Nothobranchius furzeri: one gene and its partner. The protein of the gene in region 1 interacts with the protein of each later gene in a biochemical or structural test. Links are inferred from orthologs where the notes say so. Each region holds a gene or a part of one and is shown on either strand. Other genes may lie near its edges. The genes, in order: dvl1a and frizzled-7-A.

Evidence for each region.
Region 2: the proteins of dvl1a (region 1) and frizzled-7-A form a complex in vitro, tested with the Homo sapiens proteins (2 studies listed by BioGRID and IntAct, with this or other methods). The link is inferred for Nothobranchius furzeri from reciprocal best matches to the Homo sapiens genes DVL1 and FZD7.

Annotation. Positions count from the first base shown.
Region 1 is NC_091755.1:40,816,505-40,827,545, forward strand, and holds the end of dvl1a (segment polarity protein dishevelled homolog DVL-1), read left to right. Parts: intron 1-555; coding exon 556-623; intron 624-739; coding exon 740-817; intron 818-897; coding exon 898-1,032; intron 1,033-1,254; coding exon 1,255-1,422; intron 1,423-3,195; coding exon 3,196-3,411; intron 3,412-7,023; coding exon 7,024-7,529; 3' UTR 7,530-7,561; downstream 7,562-11,041. UniProt on the Homo sapiens protein: Participates in Wnt signaling by binding to the cytoplasmic C-terminus of frizzled family members and transducing the Wnt signal to down-stream effectors. Plays a role both in canonical and non-canonical Wnt signaling.
Region 2 is NC_091754.1:11,119,465-11,130,490, forward strand, and holds frizzled-7-A, read left to right. Parts: upstream 1-4,517; 5' UTR 4,518-4,750; coding exon 4,751-6,454; 3' UTR 6,455-6,671; downstream 6,672-11,026. UniProt on the Homo sapiens protein: Receptor for Wnt proteins.

The DNA of each region.
Region 1 (11,041 bases):
CCCGCTCAGTCTGCCGCTGTCGTTGTGTCCTTGGGCAAGACACTTAACCCACGTTGCCTGCTGGTGGTGGTCGGAGGGACCAGTGGCGCCAGTGCTCGGCAGCCTCGCCTCTGTCAGCGCGCCCCAGGGCAGCTGTGGCTACATTGTAGCTCATCCCCACCAGTGTGTGAATGTGTGTGTGAATGGGTGAATGACTGATTGTGTTGTAAAGCGCCTTGGGGGGTTCCAGGACTCTAGAAGGTGCTATATCAAATACAGGCCATTTACCATTTACTTAAACAATCACTTAATGCAGTGGAAAGGTATAAGTATTAGCGTTTGCCTGAATATCTATAAAGTTTTGGAAGCAGGAGTTGTTTTAAAATGGTGAATGTTCACCTTGGAACTCGAGTAATCCTATCAGACCAAGCAGAGGTCATTTAAAGAGCTTTTTATTATAGGTGAAACATCCTTTCCACAGAATCCCATTTCAGAATACAGTAAATGTCTTTTTCACAAGCGTGATGGAACAAAGAACATGTTGGAACGTGTTTACACTCATCTCTATTTCTTCAGACCGATCAGTCTTACTGTTGCCAAATGTTGGGATCCGTCTCCACGGAGTTACTTCACCATCCCTCGAGGTAAAAAAACACTCTGGTGTCGGATTATAGTTGCTCTTCCTCACAAATCCAGCGTTGATCAGAATATTCAGAGCACTAAAGCTACATCATTTGTCCTGTTTGTTTGATTGGTTAAGCTGAACCAGTGAGGCCCATTGACCCAGCGGCTTGGATCTCGCACACCACGGCCCTGACTGGACCCTACCCTCACTACGGTAAACTCTCTCCTCTGCGCTTACGACTGAATTTTAAAATGCTGTTCTAATCGTGACGCGCTAGCTTGGTTTTCTTTCAGAGTTTGACGACTTGCCTCTGTCCGCAAGCAAAACAGACATGGCAACCATCGTCAAGGTGATGCAGCTGCCTGACTCAGGTCTTGAGATCCGAGACAGGATGTGGTTGAAGATCACCATCGCTAATGCAGTCATTGGTGAGAAGAACAGAGTAAAGCCGAACTTTTTATAGATTTGAGGTTTAAAAGCACTTTACTGGAACTCGGGCAGCTCGGGGGTTGATGTGGTTTGTGAGCCGTTTGATTGTAATTCTTTAGCTTGGCTGAACCACCTGCTGTCATTGCTCGTGTGAGTGTGTTTTAAGCATGGACCGAGTTTTTAGTGTCTATCACTGAGTGTGTGTGTGTGTGTTTCATCAGGTGCTGATGTGGTCGACTGGCTTTACTCCAGAGTAGAAGGCTTCAAAGATCGACGAGATGCAAGAAAGTATGCGAGCAGTTTGCTGAAACATGGCTACCTGAGGCACACAGTCAACAAAATCACCTTCTCTGAACAGTGCTACTACACGTTTGGAGACCTCTGCCAAAGTACGGGCAGGTTTTCCAAAACCCCAATGGTTCCAGTCAGTGTCTCACAGGGATGTGACTGTTGGAGACCAATCTGTGCTCACAAATAACTCCACATGTTGGTCAAAGGTTTTAGAATTTCTCTCAAGAGTCTCAGAGTTTAAAACACGATCAAAAACGAGCCCAGCAAACTTTTTCTTGAAATAATCGCAGAGTTTTGCAGGCATCTGAAACCCGTGGGAATCTTCTCACTTTAGTTTCCACGACTCAGAAAGTGGCTGGTGATTAAATTGCAGCAAACTTGTTTGAACAAACTGAGACTTAATTAGGTTTCCAGGAAAACTGCGATTCGTTTGCAACTACAACTAGGGTTGTCACGGTGTGAGAATTTAACCTCACGGTTATTGTGACCAAAATTACCACGGTTTTCGGTATTATCGCGGTATTTTTTTAAACGTGCTACATTTTCACACAATTAAATAAACCCTGTATATCAGGAAATATTGTCCTCAGTTTGTGTCTAAATTTAGCCTAAAATGTGTTATTTTGTAATTATGTTGTTTATTTGTTTACATTTTTCCCCTTTAGTCTTTAAAATACCAATATTTGCCCATAACTTCTTACTTTTTGTCTGTTTGATGTCATCATTTTAAAAATATTAGATCAGGTGATACTCAGTACTCAAGTAGCCTTCTAATCAGATACTTTTTTACCCTTACTTGAGTAATAAACCCTATATCAGGAAAATATTGTCCTCAGTTTGTGTCCTTCCAGTGAGCTTTGCAGATGTGGGAAAATGTCATCAGGCAGTAATCGTTGTTAAATTCATAATTATTCTCGGAGAGAGACCAACTCTTATCTGCCCCTGGGAGCCCCGTAATGCATAGCGTCATTTCAACATGGCGGTGTCCGCGACACGGTTTATATGCAGGTAGCGGCGCTGCGGCTGCTTTATATAGCCACTCGTTGCTTTCTCCCTCAACCCAAATCCTCGGATCACGCATTTTAGCTAAAACGCTAACGTTAGCTTGCCTTGCGTTGACTGTAGAGTTGTGGGTGATGGTCACGCAGATGTGTCATGAGATTTGAAGCGTTGCTGCCTTTCACAGACACTTTTTCTGCACGTGCTGCAAACAGGATAGCCATCTTCTATCAGCTGTCCCTCGGCATTCTTCAGATATCCAAAAGATGCCCGTACTTCCCACTTTGTCTTCTTTGAGGGATAATAAATGTCCGGAGCGCTGCCGTCTCCTCCTTTGGCCATTATTTCAGCTTTAGCTTCAAGAAAGTTTTGGCTATAAACAACAAAGTGCACATGTGCTGCCAGCAACTTCAGCAGACGATACGGTGGCTGGTAAGGGTCACCGCGCCTACACCGCAGCCACGGTAATCCACCGAGATTTTTTATTTTTTTAAAACAAGACGATTATTATTATTGTCAACTTTTTTACCGGGGTTTACCGCTACACCGGTTACCATGACAACCCTAACTACAACACATGGTCGTTTTCAGGGATCTAACAGGTGCTTGAAATGTATAGAAATGAATTTAAATGTGGTGAAAGTGAATAAGTTATTACTGAATGTGCTGAAAAATCCTGAAAACTTGCCTGAGAATGCTTGACGAAAGCTTGAGTTTACTTAGTCGTTAGGTGTGGAACGTGCACACTTGGTCTGATTCACACAGTCTTGTGTCTCCAGCTGGTCTCCAACAGTCACAGCCCAGTGCAGTGCTGGCCTCCACCTCTCACACTGGTTGTGTCTGGAGTGAGAACTGTTCTCTGTCTTGTCTAGACATGGCGTCACTCAATTTAAACGAGGGATCCAGTGGCGGAGGATCTGAGCAGGACACTTTGGCACCTCTACCTCCCACCGCCAACCCCTGGCCTCTGGGGGGACAGCCGTTCCCCTACCCTCCTTTTCCCTCGGCACCCCCGAGCTTCCCGCCAGGCTACTCCGACCCGTGCCACAGTTTTCACAGCGGCAGCGCAGGCAGCCAGCACAGTGAGGGTGAGCACTAAAACCTCATATCTCTGACGTCTGTATTAACAACTGTCTGACTAATGTTAGCTCCTCTGGCTCTCTGAGCCGCTGCCTTCCCCCTAGTTACGTTTGTGTGTTTCTAAACCGCGTCCTGTGTTGTCAAGGTCAATCATGAGCATCATGGGTCACGCAGCGGACAGCTCTGCAGTACTGGGTGTGTACACACACACACAAAAATAAACCCGATCAGCCGTGTGATTCCAAATCATCAGTGATTCCATCCTTCTCTATCAGCCCGTCAATCATCTGCTTTCATTTTGGATCAAAATGTGATGCTGCTGCATGATTTTAATGGTCTGCATTGAAGGAGGAGGGTGTGCACATGCCTCAAGCTATGAATATAGCACTTGAGGCAAAATAATTCAGAATTACCACTTCAGCATCTTTGCTGTCCTGTCCTGATATGGTCACATGTTGCTTTCACCTTCTTTATTTTGATTTTCTGCAAATAAATAAAATCATTTCAGTTTATTTATATATCATAACACGAAACATTTCTAACATTCCAGTTGAACCTACTGTACATTATGTTCACTTCATATGCCAACTTTACAGTGATCTCCATGCTAAGCAAGCTTGTAGCGACAGTAGAGGGGAAAACTCCCTTTGAACACAACCTGGCAGCCGTCTGCCACGACTCACTGGGGGATGATTGAAAAATGCTTAGAGGTAGGGCTGCTCAATTAATCAAATTTTAATCACGATTACGATCTGAGTTTTGAACGATTATAAAAACAAAACAAGCCGATTATTTGCTCCTCCCACTTGCGCTGCCCTGAGTTGCAAATGAAGCGCTCCTCCCACAGTGTTGCCAACTTAGCGACTTTGACGCTATTTCTAGCAGCTTTTCAGACCCCCTTCTTGACTTTTCAAATCTTAAAAGTACCTAGTGAACACCTCAGAAACATCTCTGGTAACCCTTAGCTACTTTCTGGATAACTGTCGTCGACATTTCCTGCAGGTTAGCTAAACACTCCGCCTGTGCTCCGGACCGTTCATCAGGACATTAGGAAAGGGAATGATGCAGTGATGTGTCGGTCGCTAAAGAAACGGCTCTCAGAGCCGGCTCCTTGTTGGAGTAACCAGAGTGAGTGACACACACCGTACCTGCGGACTCCTGAGCCGCTAAAAACTGCTAAATGTGCGCGTGTGGCGCGCTAAACACACATGCAGCTTGCCCCGATTGCTGTGAGACCGGGGTTGGGGGGTGGGGGGGTGCAGCTGTGGTTGGGACAGTTATTACATTAACTGATGGACTTGTAAATAATTATTTATAAATAAGGTAGAAATAAGTTCCTCACGCTGATAAATAATAACTAATCTCTATGAGGACACGGTGCTAGTGCACTCTCCTACAGCACCTTGACACGACTCAATAAATGTTATGCAACATTTTGTGAACATAAATTTATTTGTTATAAATGCTACTGTATAATTCTTGCTGTCAGTATTTGCAAGATATTGGTATTTGGGTCTGTACTGGTTAGACTTACGTGAGTTAAACCAAGGTCTACAGCCTTTGGGTCATAAACTATGAGCTGTAAGTATACTGGTCTTTTTACACAGGAGTTATTTTAGTGATCATCTTGTTTCTTATTTTTGTCCTGATTGTGCCCTGAGCAATTTTATGAATGAATAAAAACAAATAAAATCAACATAAATTGAAAAATCGTCCTAAATGATCGTGATCCCAATTTCAGTCACCATAATCGTGATTATTATTTTTGCCATGATCGAGCAGCCCTACTTAGAGGTTTAGTTTGTTTTGGTGCTCCTAAACTTAAAGGGATATTTTAGCAAACGGTTTTCATTGTAAAAATGATAAATATTTATATTGTAGATCGCTTCCTGAACAGCCTTGTTCGAGAAAGAAAGAGTACATATTACAGGACTGACTAGCTAGTGGCTAATGTGAAAGAAGCTAAAAACAACGTTTATTATTTAACTTAAAACAGCTCCAGTCTTAAAAAAAAGTCCTTATTTTTGCACCACCACCACACGTTGTTTCACAAGGACGTTTGTGGTGGTTTAAAACCGTAAATATCAGGAGTAGCTTCATGTAGCCGTGCATCCAGGGGTCGAGTCCCGTGGACGTTTAAATGTAGCGGCTGTGTGTGACGGGTAACACGTCTCAGTACAGACAGAAGGACCGGGAGCCTGTTCAGGAACGAGGGGCTGCGACCTGGATGGGAGAGAGGGCGTTTCAGCTCCAGCAGCCTCCTGCTGCCCATGGGCACGGAGGAAAGCAACCCGCAGCAAGCAGCGCAGCAGTGTGCTGTTGTTGGCTAAACCAGCAGCGATGACTGTGATCAGGAGGAGATTGTTGTCACGTGTGTGTGAACGGCTGTGAAATTCACAAGCTTGGAGGTTGGAGATGCACTTTGGCCGAGGCTGCTAGGGCCGTCGAACATGAACCATTTCTTCAAACTGAGGTTTTGATGGAAGCCTTCTGCAACTTAGAGGTGACTCACAATGCCCCCCCCCCCCAAACTGCTAAAAATGCCCTAAGACTCCTGCTTGTTTCATTGTGTGCATGTGTTTGTTTAAATTGTTGTAGTCAGAAGAATAAAGCAGGACCGCTCGTGTTAGTCTGAAGGCATCGGAGCAGGTGTAGTGCCGTGTGTTGGTCAGCGTGGGCTGGGAGGTGTGTGTAATCCTATTGTTCCCTCTTGTTTCTGCTGGGCAACGTTAGACTGAAGGAGGAGGTAGTCCCGGGACTCTGGGGGAACCGGTAAGCCTGCTAACCCCCATCCTCCTCTTCTGCTGCTCTCTGTTTCCATCCAGTCTTTATTCTATCCCTCCTCTCTCTCTCTCCTGTCCTCAGCATCCTCCACCTATCATACTGCAGCTTTAATCCCCCCCCCCCGCCTCATGATTCCTCCGTCCATGTGTATCCCGTGTGTGACTCTCCTGACAGTCGATGCTTTCCCTCCGCACCTCTGGGCATGCGTTTGAACTGTACTGGGAGGTGCATGAAGCAGGATGACGAGTCTCAGGCTTGTGCTGGGACGGGACAGCCATGCACCACTCTGCCCAGTACTGCAGACGTGGAGGAGGTGGTTTAGCAGAAGCATGGTACACCTCCATCAGTCTGGGAATTATCAGCTGTTAAATCAGATTTGATGTGAACCACGACGCACCTGAGACAAAGTTCAGATGAGTGGCATGTCGCTGATGCTGGTGTACCACTGATCCTGATTATCCGTGAATGTGGTGGTGTTTGTAAAACGTCAGATCAGCTCATGATTAGTGGCAGTGGGTGAAACCTTTAGGATAATCATTTCTGCCCTCGACGCTCTCTGGAGCACTTGGGGAAGTGTCTGGTCACACCTTAAACAAAGTGCTTCCACGTGTTTCATCGGTGCGTTAAACTGTATGTTGGAGTTTTTACACCAGGACGTGTTCGTGTGGTGTGTCGCAGCGGTTGTTTAACGTGTGACCTCGTTTCTCTGCACTAGCTGGTCTTGAGTCACGTGTGTCCGATGAGTGGCTCTCGCCGCCTTTTCTGGGGTGTTGTGCGAATGCCACAAAAGATTTTCCTAAAGTGTTCCCTGTTGTGTTGTTGTTTTTTTTCCTCAGGAAGCCGAAGCAGTGGATCCAACTCCAGCGCAGGCAAGGACAGACGCTCTCCGCAGGAGAGGTGTCAGAGGACAGCATGCAGCGAACCAGAGCCCGGTGTTCGTGGAGGGAGGCGCGGTGACCGGTCCGCCAGCCAGATGAGCCACCACAGCCACGCCCTCTCCAGCCACAGCCACGCCAGGTCGAGTCTCAGTCACAGGAGCCCCTCTTTCTCTCAGAACAATCACCCCCCCTTCACCTATAGCCACGCCCCCTTCGCCCAGCCAAGCCCAGGCTCCTGCGCACAGAGCGAGCGGAGCCACGCCTCCTCCTACGGCCCCCCAGGCCTGCCTCCCCCTTACTGTCTGGCTCGTCTGGCTCCCAAAACCTCTGTCAGCAGCAGCACCCCCCCTGGGGCCCCCCCTGGGAGAGAGTTAGCAGCCGTTCCTCCTGAGCTCACCGCCAGCCGCCAGTCGTTCCAGCACGCCATGGGCAACCCCTGTGAGTTCTTTGTGGACATCATGTGACAGGACAGTGCCTTTAAAACAGAGAGCACAAACCCCCCCCTCCTCTTAGCTTCCTGCTGTCTGATGTCCACAGGAAGTACCTGCTGTGTTAGCACAAACAGCGACGTCGCCACTCCCAAAGCACAGGTGCTCTGCTGAGGAAACCAAGCGACTCTTTCCTGTTGACGTGTACAGTCTGTGAAACGTGAGTGGTGTTCAGTGCGGTGACGTCTTTAAAGCTGCCATGCGGACATTCTGGGGAGGTTTTTCTCTACCTGGGATGTTTTCTGTTCTGCGGGACCTTTAACGTGGCTGGGGCTGGATCTCAATCCTCCAGACCTGGGTTGTGTGCCGACTCATCAAACTCTTGTTTCTGTTGCCAGCAGGTGGTCTGAGCTCTCCCCGTTCAGCCTGAGCGGGTCCTGGCCCGGCTGTCAGCCAACGGCTGCTCAGTGCGTGACCGTCTTAACTGCTTTAAATAAATTTAATGAATTAATTTTGTTTTAAAGTATTGTCGGCTCCAGAGGGTGAATGCGTACACTGGATGGCGTTGTGGTGTTATTTATGTGTTCATGTTGCGTTGATTTGGTTTGCCTTCAGCAGCTCACTGACAGACAATCAGACACCACACTCTGTGAGGCCGGGGCCGCTCTCCACTGACGTAGCTGTGCTGCGGTGACGGCACCGTTGCTGCGGACGTTCGCCTGCTCGCGTGCCGATCACCAGTACCTGCTGTGAGTCAGTGAGAAAAGCCAAAGGCTCACATGGTGTGGTGGGTATTTCTTAATGTCTGAGCGGTTTCTGATGCCAATCTTTTATTTTTCATTTACTCGTTTTAATTTTGTGATCATCACATCTCTACCAGTTTAAACCGACTTCGAGGGGAATCCCGACCGACAATAACAATGGCAACCCCGATTTATTCACTTAATCACACACACACACACACACACTTGTTTTATGAGCACTTATGTTTTTGTCTCCCTCCTTTTAGAATGAAACACTGTTTGCAATCAAAGCTTTCTTTAATTTTGTTTCGCAGCAAAAAAGGAATAAATTGTACATAGAAAATTATATATGAATTAAAAATATATATGTTCAAAGATGTTTAATTGGTGCTTTTTTTAATACCTAAAATTACCAACTACAGTCATTCATACAGATTTAGATTTTATATATGAACCAAATGTTTGTTCTTCCATCACACACCGCTGGTTTTCAAACCAGGGGTCGGGGCCCGATTTTGGGTCATGCAACACAAGGCGTGGGGTCTGGAGCAGATCTACACGGGACTAAATAACTCCCCAGTGGCGCATTTACACTCAGGTCCTTAAATATTGGGACATGGACACTGCTAACATTTTTTGGCTCTATGCACCACAATGGATATCAAATGAAATGAACAAGATGTGCTTTAACTGCAGACTGTCAGCTTTTATTTGAGGGTGTTTACATCCAAATCAGGTGAACGGTGTAGGAATACAACAGTTTGCACATGTGCCTCCCACTTGTTAAGGGACCAAAAGTAACGGTACAATTGGCTTCTCAGCTGTTCCATGGCCAGGTGGGAGTTATTCCCTCATTATTATTATTATTATTATAATAAAAGCTGACAGTCTGCAGTTAAAGCACATCTTGTTCGTTTCATCTGAGCGCTTATGTTTTTGCCTCCCTCCTCGTTTCACTAGAAACAGGCTCGACTCATCTTTTTAGCTTAGCTTTTAACTGAATACTATCACTTTTTAATTAATGAATTTAATTATTTAGGTTATTTATTTATCTAATCATTATTTATTTAATGTATTCTTTCTTTATACGTGCTTTTTAAACAGTTTTTTACCTTGATTTATGATCAACATTTTAATATCTATACAACTTTTGAGATTAAAATTCTCATTTTAGCTCTTTTGATTTTACATTTTAATCTTAATTTAACCTTTTTCCAGTGCTTCCTCTGTGGGAGCCCTCTGCCCCGGGAGCGGTGGTCAGCTGTGGCAGCCTCGGTGCTTTCCAGGTGTGCCTAGGTGGAGGTGGGGGTCTCTGCCCTCCCTGCCCTGGGCGCCCTGTGTCAGTGCCTCGGCTGCTGCTGTGGATCTGCTGCTGTCGGGGCGGATGGCTCCCCTGATGGTGTTTCCTTATCCTTATCTTAGCTGGTCTGGCTCATCTGATCTCAGTCAATCGTGTTTTTTACCATGGGGAAGGGGGCATGTGTGTGCCGGAGGATGAGTGTTGTGAAGGGTTTTTATTGTCAGACTGTTTTTAAAATTTTGGGGATGGGAGGGAATGCAGGGCCTTTTTAATCTGTTAAGCACTTTGAGTTGCATGTATTGTACGATTAAGTGCAATATAAATAAAAGTTGATTGATATCCATTGTGGGGGTGCATGGAGCCAAAAACGTTAGCATTGTGTCGATGTCCTAATATTTATGGACCTGACTGTAGCATAACTGTTGGGAAAAGCTAAACACGGAAGTCATAAGCTTACTTTTTAAACTAACAGTTGGATGTGTTCACGCTTCACCACGCAGGGTCACAAAGCCGAGTTTTATCATGTAGATCCAAAACTTAAACGTTTGTCAGTTTGAGCTGACGGAAGAAAAACTTCAATAAAATGTGTTAATTTAAAAAAAAAGTTGAAATGTTTGCATAAAAGGTTGGTCTTTACTAACAAATACTCCATTCATGCTTTTATTTATTTAAATAAAACTTGTTGCTTCAAATGAATACAAATGCAAAGAGGACTTTTGTAGGTTTTAACACTAAATGTTAATTGTTTGGGATTTTTTTTATTAACTAGAAAAAGCTTTATGAAAATGTAAAAGTCTTGTGGGAACTCTAACGTATGCGTGTCTTTCGTAAACCAGTAAGGATTAAACGGACCTGTGGGCCGTTTGAAGGTAAAAACCTAGATTCACCACTAGGTGGAGACATTCTGCTCTAATAGATCTAAACTGTTTAATAGGAACAACTGTAAATAAGAGCATTGGTTTTGGACAGATGGGATTAAATCATTGGAGTGATTTTAAATGAAATAAATGTTTTAATTAGTAGTTTTTTTTAGTCTGATCAGCTGATGTGAAGAAGCCGGTGATGCTCTTTAGACGGTGATGTGTCGGTGTGTCATCAACATCTTATTTACTGTACAGCTACCACCTCTGTGTGGAACTTCCAAACACCGGCTCGGCTGCGTGTACTTTCCTAGTGGGCAGATGTTTCAGATCACTTTACATCACACACACACACACACACACACAGACCCCCAGTCTGCTGACCCACCAACCACACACACACACAGATGTGTGAATGAGATGCTGCGCTCCCACACATGACGGGGGCTGGCAGGAAGGAAGTGATGTCAGAGATGCACTTCACCAACACAAGCAACTCCAGATCAGTCAGTTTGTGTTTTAGAACATGATCACATAAAATATTCTGTTTCTAAAAGTTGCAGTCTGACTCTGGCTGAACTTCATGTCAGCCTACATGCAGACACACACACACACACACACACACACACACACACACTTTTACCA
Region 2 (11,026 bases), on another chromosome or scaffold:
TGGTTAGACCAGCTTGGTCAGCCAACATGCCCTAAGCTGAAAATCTCCCCAAACCAAACTAAACTGTGTTTTTCCACCTCAGCTCAACATTTAAATAGTTGTTCAGTCTTGGGTTTCACATGGTAGCTCAAATACTTCACATGGTGGTTACGCTCGAATGGAGCGAACTTGGTCCAAACCATCAAAATCGGTGACTGTGTAGATCTCATCGTGCTTCGCTGTAAGTTTACTTGTTTGTTTAACCCCCTTTGTTTTGTTTCTTTCTCCAGCAGACTGCAGTACAAACAGCGACTGTCTGGAAGCCCGCTGAACGGCCTCCAGCTGCTTGACCACTGCAGACACCATCCACAAACAAACAGCTCCAGCTCCACATGATGAAGCGTGTCCCAATTGACCCACTGCAGCTACTGACAGCTGGGTTTACACCACTGACAAAGCCTTGCAATGCTGCAACACTTTCCCAAAAGTCCGTTCACATGCTTTTTTATGAATGATGTGAATCGGCACCTATTGCATAAATTACTTCGTCAGGCTGGTTTGATGTAATTCACTACAGAACTCAAATAAATCACCACAGAACAGATTCAAATGATCTTCAGCTGTTGTAAAATTCAGCTGTCATCATTTAGCATCACGCGGTTCTAAACCAAAAACATTTGGCTCCAGTTTAAACTGCTGTTTGCACAAATGAGATGGGATGTTTTATTTTTCAATCAATGTGTGAATTTAATCAGAAATTGCTTTGGCGTGAAATGACTTGCCTTGTAGAAAAGAGCCAAAGATGTAAGATGTGTTTGTTAGGCTGTGATGCAATTTGCAGACATTTTTGCAAAAATAAAGACAAAAACAAATCATTTTATTTGGCTCAGATTCCACTCATGAGCAGCTCTTGATTGATCCAAGACAACTGTCTGCTGAGGAAACATTTTGGAATTAAACCTTTCAGAAACTTAAAGGTGTGGTTCACTCGTTTAACCAATACATTTGCAGTCGGTCTAGGAGTAATCACCTTGTAAGTTATACTCAGGGGAAACAAAGCTCCGGTGCACTATGTTTTAGGAACTAGAAGTGAGCCACATCAGAGCTGAGCTTTAGACGGCAGGATTTGGAGTCTTATTTTTTGAAATTTGGACATCTAGCCGCTGATTGGTTAACAGCAACATGACTCTAAAACTGACTCGGTTTGCTCTGCAACACTGATATTTTATCTCCACAAATAATACAAGCTTGTTCTGCCGTGTGGTGGATTTGCTAATGCTAACGGTTAGCTTCTACTAGTCAAGACGTTCTCTGCTCTTTCCTGGATGCCAAACCAACGTCGCGAGTCAAGTTGGGTGAGTCCATGAATGTTAAGTGACAGTGTGATGTAGATATGTCAGGCTTTTCACATCCTAGAGTTTCACCGTCTATTTTCTATTGGGAGCTAAAGCCGGAGGAAGGTGTAGGAGACGTTTTTCATGTTCAGAGTGCATGAAAAACTCAAAGTGACTGATTATAATCAGAAATGATAATTAAAAACTGTTTTTCCAGTGACCCACAGCTTTAAAATTGAGTTAAATGTAATTAATATAACAGAAATACTGAGTTTTGTTGCGTTGGGGGAGTTTTAATCTGTCGGTGTGTTTAGTTATTCACCATTTCTTTGTTATCCAAACCACAGAAAACCGTTCAGACCTCTCCTTTTGGTTGAACCTCTCCTCCTGCTTCTTCTTCCTACTCCCCCTGCCCTCTGTGACCTTTTCCCTTCTTCCTGTCCCTTCCCCCATGGCATCCCACCCCCACTCTCTTTTTATCCCACTCAGGGCAGAAAACACCAAATGCAGAAAGGCCACCATCCACCCCTCCCACACTGGGACGCCTTTGGTCTGATTGATCACGCTGCCACCCTAAATTACAGCTGCTTTGGCTGTTGTACTCAGTTCCCACAAATGGTTAAGGAGTCCCGTTTTATTTGTTTGCAACGAAACATGTAGAAGTGCTTGTTCATCGTTTCAGATGCTGAATTCGTTTGGGTTTCTCTCATTTTTTCACGGTTTACTCACTGTGCTGTGGTGTTTATAAGTCCTACACACAGTGAGAGGCTCTGTGCAACAACTCCTGGAGTTGGAAGGAATTCAGCTTCACAGGAGCACATTTGAGAAGTCTAGACTTAACTGTTCAATTGCAGAAAACTAGCCGTGAATGTGAAGCTGAAGCTTATTTTAAGAAGAAATGAAAAAGTCAAATGAATGTTGAGAACTGTTGTTAGTATGTGCCATTTCTTTAAGTTCCTTCTCAGGAACTTGTGATTCTTGAAGGTCTTTTGCTTTCACTTGTTCTCCCACATCACATCACCCCGTTTCTCCTCCAGCTTCACTGGCTGCCAGTCAACTTCAGGGTTCATTTCAAGATCCTGGTTCTGGTCTATAGGGCCTTACATGGACAAGCACCATCTTACATTGGAGATCTTCTTAGTCCCCACACCCCCAGCAGGTCCCTGAGGTCCAGTGATCAAAGCCTACTGGTTGTGCAGCACCAGGCTAAAGGTCAAAGGTGACAGATCATTTGCTGCTGTGGCCCCCAGACTCTGGAACTCTCTCCCCCTGAGCCTGAGAACAGTGGACTCAGTGGTCTCCTTCAAAAAGCAGCTGAAGACTCACTTGTTCAAGCTGGCTTTTGTATGACCTTCTTCACCTCTCTCTCTTTATTCTGCTCTCCCCACCTATTCCACCTTCCTCAGGATCCACTGATTTCCCTCTTTCCTGTTCAATCTCTCCCTTTCTTAACATTTTTTTTAACCAGAATTGTCTATTTTTGCTCATTTTAAATATATTTTTAAACATTTTCTAAATGCTTTTTTATATTTTTTACATTTTTTGTTTTTGTGAAGAGCCTCATGATTTTTATCTTGAGAGGCGCTATAGAAATGATATTTTCTTCTTCTTCTTCTTCTTCTTCTTCTTCTTCTTCTTCTTCTTCTCAGCTCTATTTATCTTAAGTCATCATTCAAGAACAAAGAGAAGAGCTTATTTGAGACTTAAAACATGCACCTAAAATGTTTCAGGAAACAGTGAAATGGAGGATAAAGGGAATGGTAGTCGGCGTGGAAAACTAACCATTTAAGACAGACGAGCAGTATCTTAAACAGATATAAGAAAAAAAAGGTCCTGAGATAGGGCCTGAAAGATGCATTAGCCTTCAGTTAATGGGAAATTTCCAGCTCCTTTGAAATCACCTTGTTTGGGAATCGCCATGCTGTTACAAAAATAGTCTTCCATGAATGTCAAGCTGTGTTATTTTATATCATTATTACAGTTATTATTATTGATGCTGACTGTAGACATATCTATCTATCTATCTATCTATCTATCTATCTATCTATCTATCTATCTATCTATCTATCTATCTATCTATCATCTATCTATCTATCTATCTATCTATCTATCTATCTATCTATCTATCTATCTATCTATCTATCTATCTATCTATCTATATATCATCTATCTATCTATCTATCTATCTATCTATCTATCTATCTATCTATCATCTATCTATCTATCTATCTATCTATCTATCTATCTATCTATCTATCTATCTATCTATCTATCATCTATCTATCTATCTATCTATCTATCTATCTATCTATCTATCTATCTATCTATCTATCTATCTATCTATCTATCTATCTATCTATCTATCTATCTATCCATCTATCTATCTATCTATCTATCTATCTATCTATCTATCTTGATATAAGTTGTGCTTTGCTAAAATTAGACGACAACACACACAAGTTGCAGTTATTTACAATTCATAAAATTATTATTCATCAAGATGTGTACTTTGACTTTATGATATGAATTATGTTTTACTATTACTTACAGTACTACTGACCTACAGTAATATATAACACTTGCTGTTATAATGTAATAAGTAACTTATATTTCCACGTATGGCCATGAAATATTTATTGGAATATTTTCTGGCACAAATGTATTTATGGTATTCAATGTTAGCCACTTGAGAAGTGAAGTATTTAAATACTATTTATTTTAAATACTTTTGAATAATTGATAAAAAACGAACATACATTCATCTCACCGGAAAACTAAATTGATTTAGAGAAATCTCTCGTGTAATGTAATTACTGTAGCATATATTCCCATGGTGGGGAAGTAAAGACCAATCAGGAGCGAGTCCTGTAGGAAAACAAACGCTCTGATTGGCTGAGACGATGTTGTTGGTTTTAAGGCACCCCGTGCTCAGGTGGATGGGAGGGGGTCCGGTGAATGGAACGGGTGCCTTGAAACCGGCGGAATGCGCACGGAGAGAGAAGAGCGGAGCCTCTGGACTTCTGACGCCCATCATGTGAGCCGACACTCGGCGTGAAGTTTAGCCGAAAACGCAGGAAAATTTAGGCCGTTTGTGGTTTGATTTTGTACCGCTGCGCGGCTCTAGCACGTAGAGCGCTCATGACCCTTTAGTTCGTGGAAAACGGGAGTCGAAGTGTTGTTTTCCCGGACGAGGAGAGAGTGGACTGCTTGGAGTCACTTACAAAGAACATTAAGAAGTCATGACACGACGGACGATTTTCTTTGATTTAACTGCATGAAAAACGAGGGAAAGTTGGTCCGGGACATTTTAACTCTGATTTTCTGAACCGCGAGTCAACATTTTGGACAATTGTTGCAGCTGTTTGCCGTTTTGAACCGTTTTTAAGTCTCGCCACTCGGATCAAAGTTTTTCTTTCCCTCCCCCCTCCTCTTCAACCATGGCGGCGGCCAGGCTCACCACTGGCTCCGTGTTGCTGCGGTGCGTGTGGCTGATGTGGGGGCTGGCTTTCTCACTGACTTCTGCTCAACATTACAACAGTGAAAGTGGAATATCCGTTCCGGAGCACGGATTTTGCCAACCCATCTCCATCCCGCTTTGCACCGACATCGCCTACAACCAGACCATCATGCCGAATCTCTTGGGCCACACGAACCAGGAGGATGCTGGGCTCGAGGTGCACCAGTTCTACCCCCTGGTTAAGGTGCAGTGTTCTGCGGATCTGAAATTCTTCCTGTGCTCCATGTATGCCCCAGTTTGCACGGTGCTGGAACAGGCCATCCCCCCGTGTCGGTCGTTGTGTGAGCGTGCACGGCAAGGGTGTGAAGCCCTGATGAATAAATTCGGCTTCCAGTGGCCGGAGCGGCTCCGCTGCGAGGCTTTCCCCGTGCACGGAGCCGGTGAGATCTGCGTGGGCCAGAACACATCCGAGCCCAGCCCGGTCTCCTCACCTCCTTTCCCACCCGAGCCCGTCACCCTTCCACCCATAGGGGACCGACCGACCATTCATCGTCCGCCTCAACACAGCCCTTACCACCAGTTCTCCTGTCCCCTGCAGCTGGAGGTGCCTCCCTACCTGGGCTACAGATTTATGGGGGTCAAAGACTGCGGGGCCCCGTGCGAGCCCACTAAACCAAGCGGGATCATGTATTTCCGGGAGGATGAGGTAAAATTCGGTCGTCTGTGGGTTGGGATCTGGTCCATCCTGTGCTGTGTGAGCACCTTGTTCACGGTACTCACGTATCTGGTGGACATGAGACGGTTCAGATACCCGGAGCGGCCCATCATCTTTCTGTCTGGCTGTTATTTTATGGTGGCTCTTGCCTACGCGGCAGGGTTTTTCCTGGAGGACAAAGTTGTCTGTGTGGATAAATTTAAGGCTGATGGCTACAGGACTGTGGCTCAAGGAACCAAGAAGGAGGGCTGCACAATCCTATTCATGGTGCTTTACTTCTTTGGAATGGCCAGCTCCATCTGGTGGGTGATTTTGTCCCTGACTTGGTTCCTCTCTGCTGGGATGAAATGGGGTCATGAAGCAATAGAAGCCAACTCTCAGTACTTCCACCTGGCAGCATGGGCGGTCCCAGCCATCAAAACCATCACCATCCTCGCCATGGGCCAGGTGGACGGAGACGTCTTGACTGGGGTGTGCTTTGTGGGGATCTTCAACGTGGACGCCCTCCGTGGGTTTGTTCTGGCCCCGCTTTTTGTCTACCTATTCATCGGCACGTCCTTCCTCCTGGCCGGCTTTGTGTCCCTGTTTCGGATCCGCACCATCATGAAGCACGACGGCACCAAGACGGAGAAACTGGAGAAGCTGATGGTGCGGATTGGAGTGTTCAGCGTGCTCTACACTGTGCCGGCCACCATCGTGATCGCCTGTTACTTCTACGAGCAGGCCTTTAGGGAGCACTGGGAGCGCACCTGGCACATGCAGACCTGTAAGCGATTTGCAGTACCCTGTCCAGTTCACAACTTCGCCCCCATGACCCCAGACTTCACCGTGTTCATGATCAAATATCTGATGACCCTGATAGTTGGGATGACCTCCGGGTTCTGGGTCTGGTCTGGAAAGACTCTTCAATCTTGGCGGAGATTTTACAAGCGTCTCAGTAATGGCAACCATGGAGAGACCACAGTGTGAAGTTTGGATTATTAGGCCACTGATTTTTGGATACAGTTCCATGAAAATGAGGTCAAATAGCTTTCATTTCAACACTTTTGGTTGTTTTTATTTGAATCTTCACGTTTCCAGGTTGTGGTAACAGTTCACGACAAAACTCATCCAAATTTTAAGGAAGTTGGGAAAACTTCTGGTATATTCCTTTCTCTGTTTTTATTTTCGTCATCAGAAACCCCATAACATTTGTACTTTTTGGACCACGATCGGCCACGCTAGGACTGTATCCTTATATCCACATATATATATATTCTTATATTACAATTTGAATGTATTCCCCGTCCACTTCTGAGTGTCTTAGCGCACTAGCTGAAAAGATTGACGTGTCAAGCAGTGCGTCTTAACTGCAGCGAGAAGGTCAAAGGTTTATTTCCAGCCACAGCCACATCCGCTTCCAGGGAATCGTTGCCTCGACTACACGTAAGCTACTCTGCTTTTAGCTGGAGAATGGAAAGCTTTAAACGCAGAGTACAATCTCATCATTTTTAATAGTTGGAATAATTCACTCACTCATGAATTTGTCTACGTGCCAAGTGGCTACCCAGAAAGCAGTTTTAAAGGAAATCTTTTGTTTTTAATGTTCCAGACTGATGAATATTTTCTCCTGTTCTGAATGTTCACTCCGAAGATGAATGAAGTTACGTTCAAGTTTGCACAGTTATTCCAAGTGTATAGAAAAAGTCTGTTACCCCGCAGATTGACCTGGATCTTTCGTTTCGAGGAGACCACACACACACACACACACACATGCACAACCTTAAGACACAACGGCTCATTGTTGGCCCCTGTGTGTGGTCCCTCTACAGTTCGGTTGCCTGTTTAAAAGACATTTTTAAGCGTGTAAGTCGCCAAAAACACAATTTCAGCGATCCAGATTTAATCCGTGTTTGTTCTGGAGCTCATACGGTGTTTTATTCTGACTATACAGCTCATACCTGTTGTCTCACGGTAATCGTCTCACCTTTTTTCATCACACATGAAGTGTCTTTACAAGCAGACTGAACATTTTACAGTTTTTATTGAATTATTATTATTGTAGCTTCTAGGCTTCTTTACAGAGGCCTTAAACACAGAAACTGCATGCATTTTCTCTGCCTCTGGTCTTTTTTAATGATTTGAAGTTCTGTGTTAGAGAAATATCATGGTGGAGGTCAAAGGTCACAGCCACGTTGGGAAATTTTAATCTGGACAATGCAATGTAGAGATATCACAAAGGACAGAGGCATCTCCAACAGGTAAACAGTTGGTTATGTACTAAACGAACGTTGAAAGGCCTTGGTTGAGTACTAGTGGTCAGCAATAATAACATATTCTCAAGACTAATAAAGCTAGGCCACAATTATTAGGAGTCTGCGTTTCCTGCTGTTCAGTGGACATTAGAAATATGTGACTTCACTTCTTTGACTAAATGAAATCTGGAGTTTTGTGGGGAAGCTGAGTCAGCTGCGTATGCCTGCCAGAACCTTCTGTTTCTTGTCAAAAAGCACATTTTGTTGCATGCTTCACTTAAAAATAAGGAATGGAAGTACTCTGCAGCGACGCGGGACACCTCACGGCGTTGTGACCATCTACAGAGTTGGTTTTATCGTTATTTTAATGTCTAAAGCTCCCCTGGATCTAGATGCGTTAATTTTAAAAATGTGCATACTTTATACCAGTTTTCATTCTGCATTTGAAAGCAGTTTGTAAATAATTTCTTTTTTGGATGTACTACATACCTCAAGCTCTAGTTACATTCTGCTCAAGTAATTGAGTTAGAAAGCAGGTGAAAACTTCTTTACATCCAGTCGTTACGGTTTTACAGTGATTCTGTTGGCGTCTTTGTGCAGCTGAGGTCTGCCGGTGTCGATAATACCAGACTGACTTGTTTGTATTGTTCTGTTTTCAGAAGGAAAACTGGTGTTTGGTACCAGAACATATGCAAACCAGCGAGTAAACAGACTCTAATTTTCTAAAGCATATTGTATTTATGGGGATACTCATTTTTTTGTTGTTGTCTTTTTTACTTGTATTTTTTAAAAATGAGATAAACCCATTGTATGTGTACAGTTTGAATAAAAGTGATAAAGTTTTTAATGTGTTGACGACTGTCGTTTGTGGTCGGATACGTTCAGTTTAGAATCAGCTGTTGACAAAACAGTCCTGGTGCAAGCGAACCTTGGCGTGGGAGTATTTGGTCAACATCTGTGGTGTTTAGTGTAAAATAAACGAGAAGTTGCCCAGCGTAAAGATGCTGCCTCAAGCTTACGCTCAACTTCATTATTATGGGGTGATGGTTGCACAGGAGTTAAGTGCTCGCTCCGTAATCGGGAGGATGCAGGTTCGAGTCCCGCTCAGTTTGTCTCTGTCAGTGTATCCTTGGGCAAGAGATGTAACCCGCCTTGCCCGCTGGTGGTGGTCAGCAGCCTCGCCTCCGTCCGTGTGCCCCAGGGCAGCTGTGGCTACATCGTAGCTCTTCCCCACCAGTGTGAGAAGGACTGTTGTAAAGTGCCTTGGGCGGTTCCAGGACTGTAGAAGGCACTACAAATACAGGCCATTTACAAGTTATGTCTCTTAGCATGAAATCCTCAAAGTGCAGCAAAACTTTTAAAGATGGAGCACATAAAAAACAAAAATATCATCTAGTGTCTTGGCAGGATGCTGGTGCGAAAGCTTGTCTGCATTCTCAGCTTTCATTATACATTTCTAAAACTGACTCGTCTGGCATCTATAAGTGAGTTATTCCTTAAAGTACAAAAAAAAAACACCTCAAAATAAAATGAAAATAAAGCAAAGTACTATAAACCCTAAGACGCTAGTCATTTTAAATATGTAAAGAGCTTGGATGATACACTATTCCCCAAAATAATGAGTCCATAATCTAGAAATATAAAACTGAATCCTAAGAGTCACTTTATTCCAATGCTCACTAAATCTTATATTCATGAAAAACACTGCTACCACTAAAATGAGATACAAATGATTAAAGCTACAGGATACACGGCCCTTCACCAAACAATGTGTTAAAAAACTCATGTTGAGAGAACTGCAGAGACTTTCAGGGAGTCAGTTATACAGTCTAGTGTGGTGCTGACCTCTAGCGGCAGCAGTTGTTACATGCAGTCTGTAGGCTGCATTCATTCGTCACATTATTTCAGTTAGTTTTCCTGATTTTATTTACTGTTTTTTATGTTTACATTAAAGTCAAAATTATGTTTGAATACCTGAAAATAAAATCATGAACGCTGATGATCAACAAGTGCTTTGAAGCCTCAACACAATATTACTGAAATGTAGAACTTCAACCCAAACAAGACAAAGTTTAAGAAAAATCATGTTAGAACATAATATTGTTCTAACAATAACATTTTCATGTTTGAACAATTTAATATCACATTCTGACAATATACAGTGGGGCAAAAAAGTATTTAGTCAGCCACCGATTGTGCAAGTTCTCCCACTTAAAATGATGACAGAGGTCAGTAATTTTCATCATAGGTACACTTCAACTGTGAGAGACAGAATGTGAAAATAATCCATGAATTCACATGGCAGGATTTTAAAGAATTTATTTGTAAATCAGGGTGGAAAAAGTATTTGGTCAATAACAAAAATTCAACTCAATACTTTGTAACATAACCTTTGTTGGCAATTACAGAGGTCAAACGTTTACTATAGGTCTTTACCAGGTTTGCACACACAGAGCTGGTATTTTGGCCCATTCCTCCATGCAGATCTTCTCGAGAGCAGTGATGTTTTGGGGCTGTCGCCGAGCAACACGGACTTTCAACTCCCTCCACAGATTTTCTATGGGGTTGAGGTCTGGAGACTGGCTAGGCCACTCCAGGACTTTCAAATGCTTCTTACGGAGCCACTCCTTTGTTGCCCGGGCGGTGTGTTTGGGATCATTGTCGTGTTGGAAGACCCAGCCACGTTTCATCTTCAAAGCTCTCACTGATGGAAGGAGGTTTTGGCTCAGAATCTCACGAGACATGGCCCCACTCATTCTTTCCTTTACACGGATCAGTCGTCCTGTCCCCTTAGCAGAAAAACAGCCCCAAAGCATGATGTTCCCACCCCCATGCTTCACAGAAGGTATGGTGTCCTTGGGATGCAACTCAGTATTCTTCTTCCTCCAAACACGACGAGTTGTTTATGCCAAAAAGTTCTACTTTGGTTTCATCTGATCACATGACATTCTCCCAATCCTCAGCTGTATCATCCATGTGCTCTCTGGCAAACTTCAGATGGGCCTGGACATGCACTGGCTTCAGCAGCGGAACATGTCTGGCACTGCAGGATTTGATTCCCTGCCGTTGTAGTGTGTTACTGATGGTGACCTTTGTTACTGTGGTCCCAGCTCTTTGCAGGTCATTCACCAGGTCCCCCCGTGTGGTTCTGGGATTCTTGCTCACTGTTCTCATGATCATTTTGACCCCACGGGATGAAATCTTGCATGGAGCCCCAGATCAAGGGAGATTATCAGTGGTCTTGTATGTCTTCCATTTTCTGTTAATTGCTTCCACAGTTGATTTTTTCGCACCAAGCTGCTTGCCT